Linked DNA regions of Lonchura striata. The protein of the gene in region 3 purifies or fractionates together with the protein of the main gene of each other region. This does not show direct contact. Links are inferred from orthologs where the notes say so. Each region holds a gene or a part of one and is shown on either strand. Other genes may lie near its edges.

Region 1 (3,740 bases), on a different chromosome or scaffold from region 3:
TTCACACCTCTTTAGCTCTTATTCCCTCTCCCCTTTCTCTCCCCTTTCTCTCCCCTTTCTCTCCCCTTTCTCTCCCTCTTCTCCCTCCTCTTCCTCTCTTCTTCACACCTCTTTAGCTCTTATTCCCTGTCCTCTTTCTCTCCTCCCCTTTTCACTACCCCCTTCTTGCTCCCATCTGTTTTCCTTCTTCCTCCTTTGACTTTTTCCTCCTTTTCCCTCTCTTGGGAGCAGACCCAGCCTCCCCACGCTCGGTCCCGGGGCTGTGCCGGCGCTTCGGGCCCCTCCATCCCTGCGTGAGCCCATCACCGGGGCTCGGTTCCCCGCTCGCCCGGGGCTGTTTTCCGCCCCAAACCCTGCACCGCCCCGCAGCCGCATCTCCCCGGGCCGGGGTTAGTCAGCAGGGAGGGGAAGCCGTGCCCTGCCCGGGCTGACTCACCCCAAAACTGGGTGCAGGGCAGGCTGCACCCCCTCCCACCTGGGGATGGTGCCGCGGGGGGAGTGGGGAGCAACATTCCCGGTGCCCTAGCGGGAATAATGAGTCGCCAGCCGGGAATGAGGCTCGAGTGCTCATTCCGGGAGCCGCCAGGATGCTCCGGGCCTAGCAGCCGGGGCGCCGCCATGTTGATGCACCCCATGGCTGTGGGGCACACCATGAGACCCTAAATCCACGACGCCCCATGTTTGTGGGGGCTTTGGGACCACCGTGACCAAGCTTGGGGTATCCTCGCTGTCTCTCACTATGCCCACGGCGAGGGAAGACGCCGAAAGAAGAGGATTTAAAAAAGAATACAAATAAACCCAGCGCAGAGGGCGTTGAGTTAGAAGACTACATCTCCCATCGGCAGCCGCGGCGGCGCAGGCGCAGCGCAGGTGGGCGGGGCCGCGGCGCGCGGCGCGCGTTGCCGCGCGGTGATTGGCGGGCGGAGCTGTCCGTCAGGCGCTCCGCCCCGCCCCCGCCGCGGCGGTGCTTGCCCGGGCTCGGCGGGCGCGCGCACCGGGACCCCGCACCGGCACCGGGGACCCCGCACCGGCACCGCGCCCCCTGCCGGCCCCGCCCCGCGCCGCGCCCCGCCGCCGCCACCGCCGCCCCGGGACCGGCCCCGGGACCGCCGGCCGCGCCCGCCCCGCCCGGTACCGCGCCGCCGCCACCGCCGCCGCCGCCGGCCCAACCATGATGAAGTTTCGGTTCCGGCGGCAGGGTGCCGACCCGCACCGCGACCGCCTCCGCCACGACCTCTTCGCTTTCAGCAAGGTGCGTCTAGGGCGAGCGGGGGGCGCGGCGGTGGATCCCGGGGGGCGGCGACCGCCGGGAGGCACCGGGGGTACCGGGCAGGGTGCGGCGTGCGGGCAGCCCCCCGGTGGCGCGGGGCTCTGGTACCCCCGCGGGATGCCGCCCGCGGGGAGGCGAGCAGAGTGCGGGGCACCGCCCCCCGGGACCGGCTGAACCCCCGGGGGAGCCGCGCACCGGGACCTCCCCGCTCCCGGGGAAGGGGCACGCGGGAACGGCGGGGCTGCCTGGCCCGGGGATCCCGGGACGGGCTGCTGGGCCGCCCCGGGAGGATGCACACCGGGGGTGGGTACCGGGAGCCCCCGGGTGCGAGATGCGCCCCGGGGTGCGGACCGGGGGGCTGCGCTCCTCCCCGTGCGGTGCAGGGGGGCACTCCGGGAGAGGATGCGACCCCCTGAGCAGCGCGACATCCCGGTCCCCAGCCCCTCCTGGGGGGGCTCCCGGAGCGCCCCGGTTCCCGCACTCCCCCCTGTCCCGTGGATCCCCCGAGGCCTCGCTCGCGGGCGTTTTGGGGTGACCCGTGGTCCCACACCCTGTCTGGCCTTGGAGCATCCCTGGCTGCATCCCCCATGTGGGGCTCAGCCCCCCACTCCCGTCTCCCCAGGGGTGGGATACTGGGGGGCTGGACCCCCTGTGTCAGCCGGAAGGGCTGTGCCAATGACCCCCTGGGCTTTTGGGGTGCCCTGGCACCCCAAAGATGCGTCTCTGTGGGGACATGAGAGGTCAGCTCTTGCCCCCCTCCTCCCTCCGAGTTTTACCACTTGCCTCCTTCATTTGGGGTGGGAGCGACCCCCAAGCTCATCAAACAAGCCCTGAGGTGCCAGACCCTTCCCTCGGGACACCGGGCTGTGCCTGGGACTTGGTGCACCTTGTCCTGGAGGCGCCGTGGTGGCCTTGGGACCGTGCTGCTGCCCTGCCCGCGGGGCATGAGACCACCGGCAGTGCCCCCTGGATGCGCCCAAACCGTGCCCGTCTCTCCGTCATTCGGCCGCGTCCCGGCACTGCCGTGGGGTCCTTGCCCAGCTCCTGCTGGGGACGCACCGGGGCGACCCCCGGCTGTCCCACAGCGGGGTCGGGTGTGCAGTGCTGAGGGGTCAGCGCCCCGCACAGCCCTGGCCCCCCAACTCTCTGCCGTGGATCCGGCCGGGGTGCAAGGCTCAGCCCAGCCTGAGCCCCCCTGTTTTTGGGGAGCACAGTCCCGCGGCCGGATCCTGCCCGAACGAGTGCCCAGGGCGGGTGTGAGCAGTGGGATGTCCTGGGGGGAGGCTGAGGAGAGCCCCTCTCCGGCCGTCCCAGCCCTGGGGCCGCGGGCTGCCCACCTGCCTCCCATTAAGGGTTGTTTTTCCTCCCGAGCTCCAGATCTGCCTGGGATTTGCTGTAATTTGGCCGGGAGCGCGCCTTGGCCGGCCGGCACAGCCTGCCGGATGCGGCCCCGCTGCGGGCGGGAGCGGGGGCTGCGGCGGGGGTCCCTCCTTTTGGGACTGGGAGTGCTGGGGAGCTGCGACAGCGCTTTTTGGGGACTCTTTGCCCGTGTCACCGTGTTGGTTTCTGGCCTAAAGCATCGCTGTGGTGCTGCTGTCCCAGCTCCGTCCTCCAGCGCAGCGTGCATCCCGGGGGGATTCAGCATGACCCTGCGTGGGTGGGCACCCACGAGCACCCACTTCCTCGCCCCTTGGACGCGTTGGGACCCACTTGGATGGGCCGGGACGCCTGGGATGGGCTGGGGGCGTTTTCACGCTCCTGGAGGTGTCCCCTGGGAGGGGAGCAGGAGCTGGGGTGCCGCCGGCGGGTGCGCAAAGCCGCCCCGCTGCGCCTCTCGGATGCCCCAGACAAAGGGAGCGGGTCAGGATCCGGCCAGTCTGGCTCCGGCGGCCTCCGTATCGTCTGATCGCGCCGTCGCCGCTCCGCCGAGCTGCCCTCGGGAGCCCTGCGGTCCCCGCGCCGGGGCCGGGCCGGTGGGTGCCCCCCGCGTCCCCCCGCTGCCGGGGCAGCCCCTCCCCGGCCGGCGAGCCCGGGCACGCCGTTCGGCCGGGACTTCCTTGGGAAGGTGCCCTGGGGCCACGCGCGGCTCCGGCGGGGACGTCCCTGGCGCTGGCGGGTCCCGCTCGCCTGGTTCTGCCGCCCGGCATCGGGGACGCCCGGTGATGTCGCACTGGGGGTCCCGCTCGCCTCCCCTGGGGTGTCCCCACCTCCGAGGTTCAGAGCAGGGGGGTCCCACCCCCAAAGTGCCGGCGGGTGGTGGGGCAGCTCGTTCAAGGTCAGCCCTACCCCGCTGTGGCTGTTGGGCTGGGTTTTGGAGTGCTGGGTGGAAATTGGGTGAGGAGTGATGTCCCCTTTCCCCGGGGCCCTCCTTGGTGGCACTGGGGGACAGAGCAGCATCTTCGTGATCCCCCATCTCCGGGGTGATGCTCAGGCTGGTGCGGGATCGCAGCTGTGGGGGCGAGGGGGGCTG
Region 2 (3,740 bases), on a different chromosome or scaffold from region 3:
GAAATCCCCATCCCGGTCCCAGATCCTGATCCCAAATTCCCGGTCCCGCATTCCCGGGCACCGCCTCACAGCTCCGCCCTCCCTCTCCCCTCCCTGTCCCCTCCCTGTCCCCTCCCTGTCCCTCCCTGTCCCTCCCTGTCCCCTCCCTGTCCCTCCCTGTCCCTCCCTCTCCCCTCCCTCTCCCCTCCCTGTCCCCTCCCTGTCCCTCCCTCTCCCCTCCCTCTCCCCTCCCTGTTCCCTCCCTGTTCCCTCCCTGTCCCCTCCCTGTCCCCTCCCTGTCCCTCCCTCTCCCCTCCCTCTCCCCTCCCTGTCCCTCCCTGTCCCTCCCTCTCCCCTCCCTCTCCCCTCCCTCTCCCCTCCCTGTCCCTCCCTGTCCCCTCCCTGTCCCCTCCCTGTCCCTCCCTCTCCCCTCCCTCTCCCCTCCCTGTCCCCTCCCTGTCCCCTCCCTGTCCCTCCCTCTCCCCTCCCTCTCCCCTCCCTGTCCCCTCCCTGTCCCTCCCTGTCCCCTCCCTGTCCCTCCCTCTCCCCTCCCTCTCCCCTCCCTCTCCCCGCTCCTCCTCCCGCCGTTCCCGTCCCCGCCGCGCCCCGCAGGTACCGGGAGGGACCCGGGGACAGACCCGGGACAGACCCGTGGACAGACCCGGGACAGACCCGGGACAGACCCGGGACAGACCCGGGCCAGACCGGGGACCCGGGGGGGGGACCCGGGGGGGACCTGGGGGGTCCCGGGGACAGACCGGAGCCCCTGCCCGGGGAGAGGGGCCGGGTGCGTTTTTAGGGCGGGGTGGGAAGGGGGTTCCCTTGGCTTCGGGGGCTCAGCCAAGGGGGTTTTGGGGTCCCAGCCAAAGGTTTTGGGGTCACTGCCGGGGGGGTTTTGGGGTCCCAGCCAAAGGTTTTGGGGTCACTGCCGGGGGGGTTTTGGGGTCCCAGCCAAAGGTTTTGGGGTCACTGCCGGGGGGGTTTTGGGGTCGCTGCCAGGTAGATTTTGGGGTCTCAGCCAAGGGGGTTTTGGGGTCACTGCCGGGGGGGTTTTGGGGTCGCTGCCAGGTAGATTTTGGGGTCTCAGCCAAGGGGGTTTTGGGGTCTCAGCCAGGGAGGTTTTGGGGTCTCAGCCAAGGGGGTTTTGGGGTCTCAGCCAGGGAGGTTTTGGGGTCTCAGCCAGGGAGGTTTTGGGGTCTCAGCCAAGGGGGTTTTGGGGTCTCAGCCAGGGAGGTTTTGGGGTCTCAGCCAAGGGGGTTTTGGGGTCGGTGCCAGGTAGATTGTGGGGTTGCTACCGGGGAGGTTTTGGGGTTGCTGCCAAGGGGGTTTTGGGGTCACTGCCAAGGGGGTTTTGGGGTCTCAGCCAGGGAGGTTTTGGGGTTGCTGCCAAGGGGGTTTTGGGGTCGGTGCCAGGGAGGTTTTGGGGTTGCTACCGGGGAGGTTTTGGGGTCTCAGCCAGGTAGATTCTGGGGTCTCAGCCAAGGGGGTTTTGGGGTCTCAGCCAGGGAGGTTTTGGGGTCCGGGTGTCCCGGCTTTTCCCTCTGTCGGGGCAGGAAGGGGCGGTGGCCATGGCGGCACGGAAAGCGTTTTACTTTCACTTCCACCGGCGCTCGGGAACCCGAGATTCCGGGAAGATCGAGAGCTCGGGAGGGTGGCGAGGGAGCGAGGGGCGGGACAGCAGAGCCCCGAGCGGGATCTGTAGCTCCGACCCCCGACCTGCTCCATCCCGGGGGCGCATCCCCGCAGATGGAGACGGAACCGGAGGCACAAGCGGCACCGGAGCAGCAGCCGGAGCCGTGCCCGGCCTCGAGCACCCCGGCACCGGCCTCCCCTCCCCATCACCCCGCCGAGGGCGAGGATGAGGAGGAAGAAGATGACGATTTCCAATTCCTGCGCTGCGACGGCTGCGGGCAGGAGTCGCCTCAGCCGCGGCTGCTGCGCTGCCTGCACACGCTGTGCCCGGCGTGCCTGAGCGACACCAAGCAGTGCCCGCGCTGCCGGGCGGCCGCGGCCGTGCCCGCCGTGGACAACCTGCTCTTCTGCAACCTGCGGAGCCGCCTGCAGCTCTGGCGGCAGATCCGCAGCGCCGGCGGGCCGGGCTGCGGGCACTGCCGCGCCGAGGCGGCGCTGGTTTGGTGCCAGGAGTGCGAGGAGTTCCTGTGCGGGCGCTGCCTGGAGGAGCACCAGTGGTGGCACAAGAAGAAGGCGCACAGGGTGCGCAGGGTGGAGGAGCTGCGGGCGGGCTCGGCGCGGCAGTTCCTGGAGGACACGCGCGGCTCCTGCAGCCTCTTCTGCTCCAGCGACAGCCACCCCGAGGAGAGCCGCGTCTGCAGGTGGGAGCGCCTCGGCACCGCTGCGGGCGACACCGCGAATCTCCTCCTGGCCCCAGATCTTGTCCTGGCCTCAAAGCTTGTCCTGGTACCAAAGCTTGTCCTGGTACCAAAGCTTGTCCCATCCCAAAACCTCATCCTGGCCCCAGATCTTGTCCTGGTACCAAAGCTTGTCCTAGCTCCAAAGCTTGTCCCATCCCGAAACCTCGTCCTGGCTCCAGATCTTGTCCTAGCCCCAGATCTTGTCCTGGTACCAAATCTTGTCCCATCCCAAAACCTCGTCCTGGCCCCAGATCTTGTCCTGGCTCCAAAGCTTGTCCCATCCCAAAACCTCGTCCTGGCTCCAGATCTTGTCCTGGCTCCAGATCTTGTCCTGGTACCAAAACTTCTCCTGGCCCCAAAGCTTGTCCCATCCTGAAACCTCGTCCTGGTACCAAAGCTTGTCCTGGCCCCAAATCTTGTCCCATCCCAAAGCCTCGTCCTGGCCCCAGATCTTGTCCTGGTACCAAAGCTTGTCCCATCCCGAAACCTTGTCCTGGCCCCAGATCTTGTCCTGGTACCAAAGCTTGTCCTAGCTCCAAAGCTTGTCCCATCCCGAAACCTCATCCTGGCCCCAGATCTTGTCCTGGTACCAAAGCTTGTCCCATCCCGAAACCTTGTCCTGGCCCCAGATCTTGTCCCGTCCTCAAAATGTATCATGGCCCCAAATCTTGTCCTGGTACCAAAGCTTGTCCTAGCTCCAAAGCTTGTCCCATCCCGAAACCTCATCCTGGCCCCAGATCTTGTCCCGTCCTCAAACTGTATCATGGCCCCAAATCTTGTCCTGTCCCCAAATCTCTTCCTGGCCCCAAATCTTGTCCTGGTACCAAAGCTTGTCCTGGCCCCAAAGCTTGTCCCATCCCAAAACCTCATCCTGGCTCCAGATCTTGTCCTGGCTCCAGATCTTGTCCTGGTACCAAAGCTTGTCCTGGCTCCAGAGCTTGTCCCATCCTGAAACCTCGTCCTGGTACCAAAGCTTGTCCTGGTACCAAATCTTGTCCCATCCCAAAGCCATGTCCTGGCCCCAGATCTTTCCTGGTCTAAGATCTTGTCCTAGCCCCAGATCTTGTCCTGGCCCCAAATCTTGTCCCGTTCTCAAACTTCATCCTGGTCCCAGATCTTGTCCTGGCTCCAGATCTTGTCCTGGTACCAAAACTCATCCTGTCCTCAAATCTCACACGGGCCCCAAATCTTGTTCTGGTCCCAAAACTTCGTCCTGGCCCCAGATCTTGTCCTGGCTCCAAATCTTGTCCTGTCCCCAAATCTCATCCCATCCCCAAACCTTGTCCTGTCTCCAAAGCTCATCCCATCCCCAAGTCTCATCTTGTCCCCAAACTTCATCCTGTCCCCAAATCTTGTCCTGTCCCCAATCTCATCTGGTCCCGTATCCTT
Region 3 (3,740 bases):
TGCCTCAGCACCGGTCTTCTCTTGGTTGGCAGAAGTGGGAGTCACTTTGCTTCTCTGTCCTCCGTGTTCCACATCGATATCAACTTCAATACCTAGAAAAGCATTTAAGGTAGACAAAGTGGTAAGAGGTTTTTTTTCCAAAACAGCCCTAAATGGATCGATCCTGCTCTACACTCTTAAGGTTTCTGTCATCCTACAATCTGCCATGTAACAGCAGGAATTAAAATGCAAAGCCTTCTTTACTAAAGAATAGCTAAGCACTGAACAGCCATCTTCCTCCACACAGACAAGCCAAATACTTAAAGGCAGGGCAGAAGTTACATCTATGTCCACATAAACCAGGCAAAATCTAGAGTCACCACTGACTTAAAGGGCTGACACATTATTGAAATTTTTCCTCATTTTTTTCAAATAAAAGGTACTGAGCAACTGTTCTAAGCCTAAGCATTATTAGTATCCAAGTATAAACTAAGCCTTTGAGGCTTAGGACAGGAGGTAATTTGAAGACCAGTCACAACAACTGACTGCTGCTCCTGTTAAACAGACCTGTAAGCCAGTCTCAGGGACTGGTAACAAACTGTACATTATCACTTACCCAGGGGACTCAGAAAAGCTGCAACACTCTCCCCAACATTCTTTAGGAAGGTGACATTGGGGTCCTGAGGCTGGCTGTTAGTAGAAGCTTCTAGAAAAACAATTTCTGTTAGCACACACAAGCTCTGAGGGAAAGGGCACCTGCAGAGGGTGTGTCCCCACAGGAGCTTAAAGCTCATTCCTGTCACTGACATACATTACAGAACAAAGCACTACAGAGAACAACTAACTGGGCTACCTCTGGAACAGAAAGCCAGTATTAGCATTATTATGGCTCATCAGCCATGCTGAAAGGCAGGTCTGGAGTACAATAGTGACATGCTTGACCTAACAGCTCAGCTTGGTTGGGTTCCAGATACTTTATCTGCATCCTCATTGACTGCACGGACCCAAGCACACCTTAAAGTAATAACACTTTGTGCTGAAAGGTGCCAATTCCTTTGTTCTCCCACCCAGATTCTACCCTATGCTGCAGAACCTCAGCTGGTCTGAGGCTCCACCACCACCCTGTCTACCAGGGCACCTCCTCTCACCTTCTGCAGCAGGTGCACTGGGGGCTGCAGTGGTGGCTTCAGCGGTGGCTTCAGCTTGCTCCGAGTTCTGGCAGGGAGCTGCAGGCCCAGGATACCCCCAGCAGTGCATCCATGGGAAAGGTGGAACACCATGGCGCATTTTACGGAGCCAGCGTCCTCGGGGAATCCACTGTAAAGGGTGACATTCGTGTGACAGCGAGTTCTGAGCAACTGAAACGCCTGACTTGAATTTGAGGAATCTCTCACTCATCAGTTGCCTTCCATAGATTTTGCTCACCTCAAACGGATTAAGCAGTGGGCTTTGGAACATCACCATGTTGTGCTCCTTGTGGATGCCCTTCCCCTCACAGGTGCTGCACAGGTCATAGTCTGGACAGACACTGCACTTGAACCTGGTCCCCACCACAGGTCCCTCACAGCCATCACAGATGACGTTGGGGTGCACCATGTTGCGGGGCGGCTCCTGGCTGCACTGCGAGCGGTGCTCCCGCTTGCACTCCTTCTTCTCTGTTAAGGAAGGGAAATTCCACATCAAGATCAGATTACTATCTACGGCCTTGAAGTCAGGCCGAGGAGGAAGCACAAACAGCCCGTCCGAGCAGTGTTGACTTACTAGGTCAGTTTATTTTTACACTGGCTGTCAAACCTAAGCCAGGCTCATGTAAGAGACCTTAAACCACGTGCAAAGAGGTTTTGCAAAGATACCTCCTCCTGAAACCAAGCCTACGTTATCCTAAATATCCCTTGGCACACTTTTTTTAGATTAGCACTGCACCACCTCATCTGGCTTCTCACCCTACCTTCCCAAGCACTGCAAGAACAAAATGTTTCTGGAGAAGGAGTTAGGAATGCAGATGCCATGAAGCATAACATGAGAATGGGGACAACAGGTGTGGCTCACTAGATGGACTGCAGATAAAGCTTTGAGGGCTTCTACATGAACAAGGGACTGGGAAGCAACTACGCACTGGGAAAGTGGAATTAAAGCTAACATGTTGTTTTGAATATTTAGGATACCACCACTGGTTTAGTGTATCCAGGGAACGAGAATGACAACAGAGCCTCACACTGGGCCAGCTGATAGGGCTAGGAGGAAACCTGTGGTTTGTTTATCCCACCTCAAATTCATGTTCCGTCACATTACACTGCCCTTTATTTAACCTCCCCCGCAGAGGCCGCAGCTTCCACTCGGCGCTCGAGGACACGGGAAGGGCCGGGGCTGGCTTCTCCCGCTTTGGGAGCGCTGCCAGGAGGCTCAGCCGAGACCCGCCGTGCCCTCCGGAGCTGCTACCCGTACCTTTGATATAAACACGGAACACGCCATCCCGCACGTAGGGCATCGCCAACTCCAGCTCCTCGTCGCTGGAAAAAGCGATCAGGTCCCCGTCCTCATCTGGAAAGGGCGAAGCGCAGGATGAGGCGCCCGGTGGGGTAACGGGGCAGCCAGAGCCCCGCGCCCCGCGATCTGCCACCCCGGGACCCGGCAGCTGCCCCAGCCCCGCTCACCCTTGTAGTGCATGCGGAAGGCGGGCGGCGGCCCGGCCCGCAGCAGCCCCTGGAAGAGCTCGGCGACACGGTCGTAGATGGCCCGGTAGCGAGCGGGCGGCGGCAGCGTGAAGCGGCGGATCTCGCGGGCCGCCTCCTCCTTGCCCAGCAGGTAGGCTTTCACCGTCAGCGCCGCCATGGCTGTGGCGCAGCAGGAATTGCGGCCGGGACCGAGACACGGAGCGGCGAGGGGCGGGGTGAGCGGCGACGGCGGCTCCGCCGGCCGCGCTTTTAAGCGCCGCGGCAGCGGCCCCGCCCCCGAGGCCACCCCCCTCTGCCCTGCCCCGGCCCGCCCCGCTCCCGTTCCTGCTCCGTCCCCATCCAGGGCCACGGAAAAGCGCCCACGGCGCGCGGGAAAACCTGTGGATACGTGCAAATGCCCATGTCTGCTCCCTGCCCTGCCCGGCCCCGGTTTGGGCCCCGGGGCAGCGCCAGGGGCGTGGGCGGCGCGGGGTTCTTGTGGTCCCCTGAGCACCAGCGGGGGCGGCGGGCAGTGAGCGCGACACGGGGACCCCTGGGTGACCTCCGAGACACACCGGGGGCAACACCACAGCACGGGCAGCGCCGGGCCGCCCCGGTCCCGTCACCGCTCCCGGCCGCCGGGAGCCGGCAGGCGCTTGGCATCCCGGCGCTGCCTCCCCTCCACGGCGGCAGCGCGGCCGGGAGCGGAGCGGGAGCCACGAGCCAGCCCCGCTCGTGCGGCACCCACCGGAGCGGCTGGCGTGCCGAGCGTGGCAGGAATAAATAACTGAACCCCTGTGTCAGGAGCGGGCACTAAAAATAAGGTCACTGGTGTAAACACAGCTGACATTAAGGAGGATGTGCTGTGGCCTTTGCAAGCTGGTTGGCAGCAGTATTTTTTTTGCGGATCACATACAGTTGACAGGCCTCTTAATCCGGCCGCAGGAGGGTTCAGCTGGCAGAACACACCGTCTGTGCTGTCCAAGCATAATTAAATAATGATGGATCAATGATTATTAGGTTCCTTGTTGGTGTTACTTTCCTCTCACCCAAGGGCCTGACCACTCTGACTCTTGGTGCTGTATTTCTTAATTTAAGATATTAAGA

Evidence for each region.
Region 1: the proteins of SQSTM1 (region 3) and LLGL1 purify together in Homo sapiens (affinity purification with mass spectrometry; 3 studies listed by BioGRID and IntAct, with this or other methods). This does not show direct contact. The link is inferred for Lonchura striata from reciprocal best matches to the Homo sapiens genes SQSTM1 and LLGL1.
Region 2: the proteins of SQSTM1 (region 3) and PML purify together in Homo sapiens (affinity purification with western blotting; 3 studies listed by BioGRID and IntAct, with this or other methods). This does not show direct contact. The link is inferred for Lonchura striata from reciprocal best matches to the Homo sapiens genes SQSTM1 and PML.

Annotation. Positions count from the first base shown.
Region 1 is NC_134618.1:15,722,060-15,725,799, forward strand, and holds the start of LLGL1 (lethal(2) giant larvae protein homolog 1), read left to right. Parts: upstream 1-1,132; 5' UTR 1,133-1,171; coding exon 1,172-1,252; intron 1,253-3,740. UniProt on the Homo sapiens protein: Cortical cytoskeleton protein found in a complex involved in maintaining cell polarity and epithelial integrity. Involved in the regulation of mitotic spindle orientation, proliferation, differentiation and tissue organization of neuroepithelial cells.
Region 2 is NC_134613.1:6,279,581-6,283,320, reverse strand, and holds the start of PML (protein PML), read left to right. Parts: upstream 1-1,460; 5' UTR 1,461-1,725; coding exon 1,726-2,312; intron 2,313-3,740.
Region 3 is NC_134617.1:6,704,427-6,708,166, forward strand, and holds the start of SQSTM1 (sequestosome-1), read right to left. Parts: upstream 2,873-3,740; 5' UTR 2,812-2,872; coding exon 2,634-2,811; intron 2,521-2,633; coding exon 2,425-2,520; intron 1,635-2,424; coding exon 1,405-1,634; intron 1,297-1,404; coding exon 1,128-1,296; intron 686-1,127; coding exon 596-685; intron 430-595; exon of another isoform or gene 93-429; coding exon 1-92. UniProt on the Homo sapiens protein: Molecular adapter required for selective macroautophagy (aggrephagy) by acting as a bridge between polyubiquitinated proteins and autophagosomes.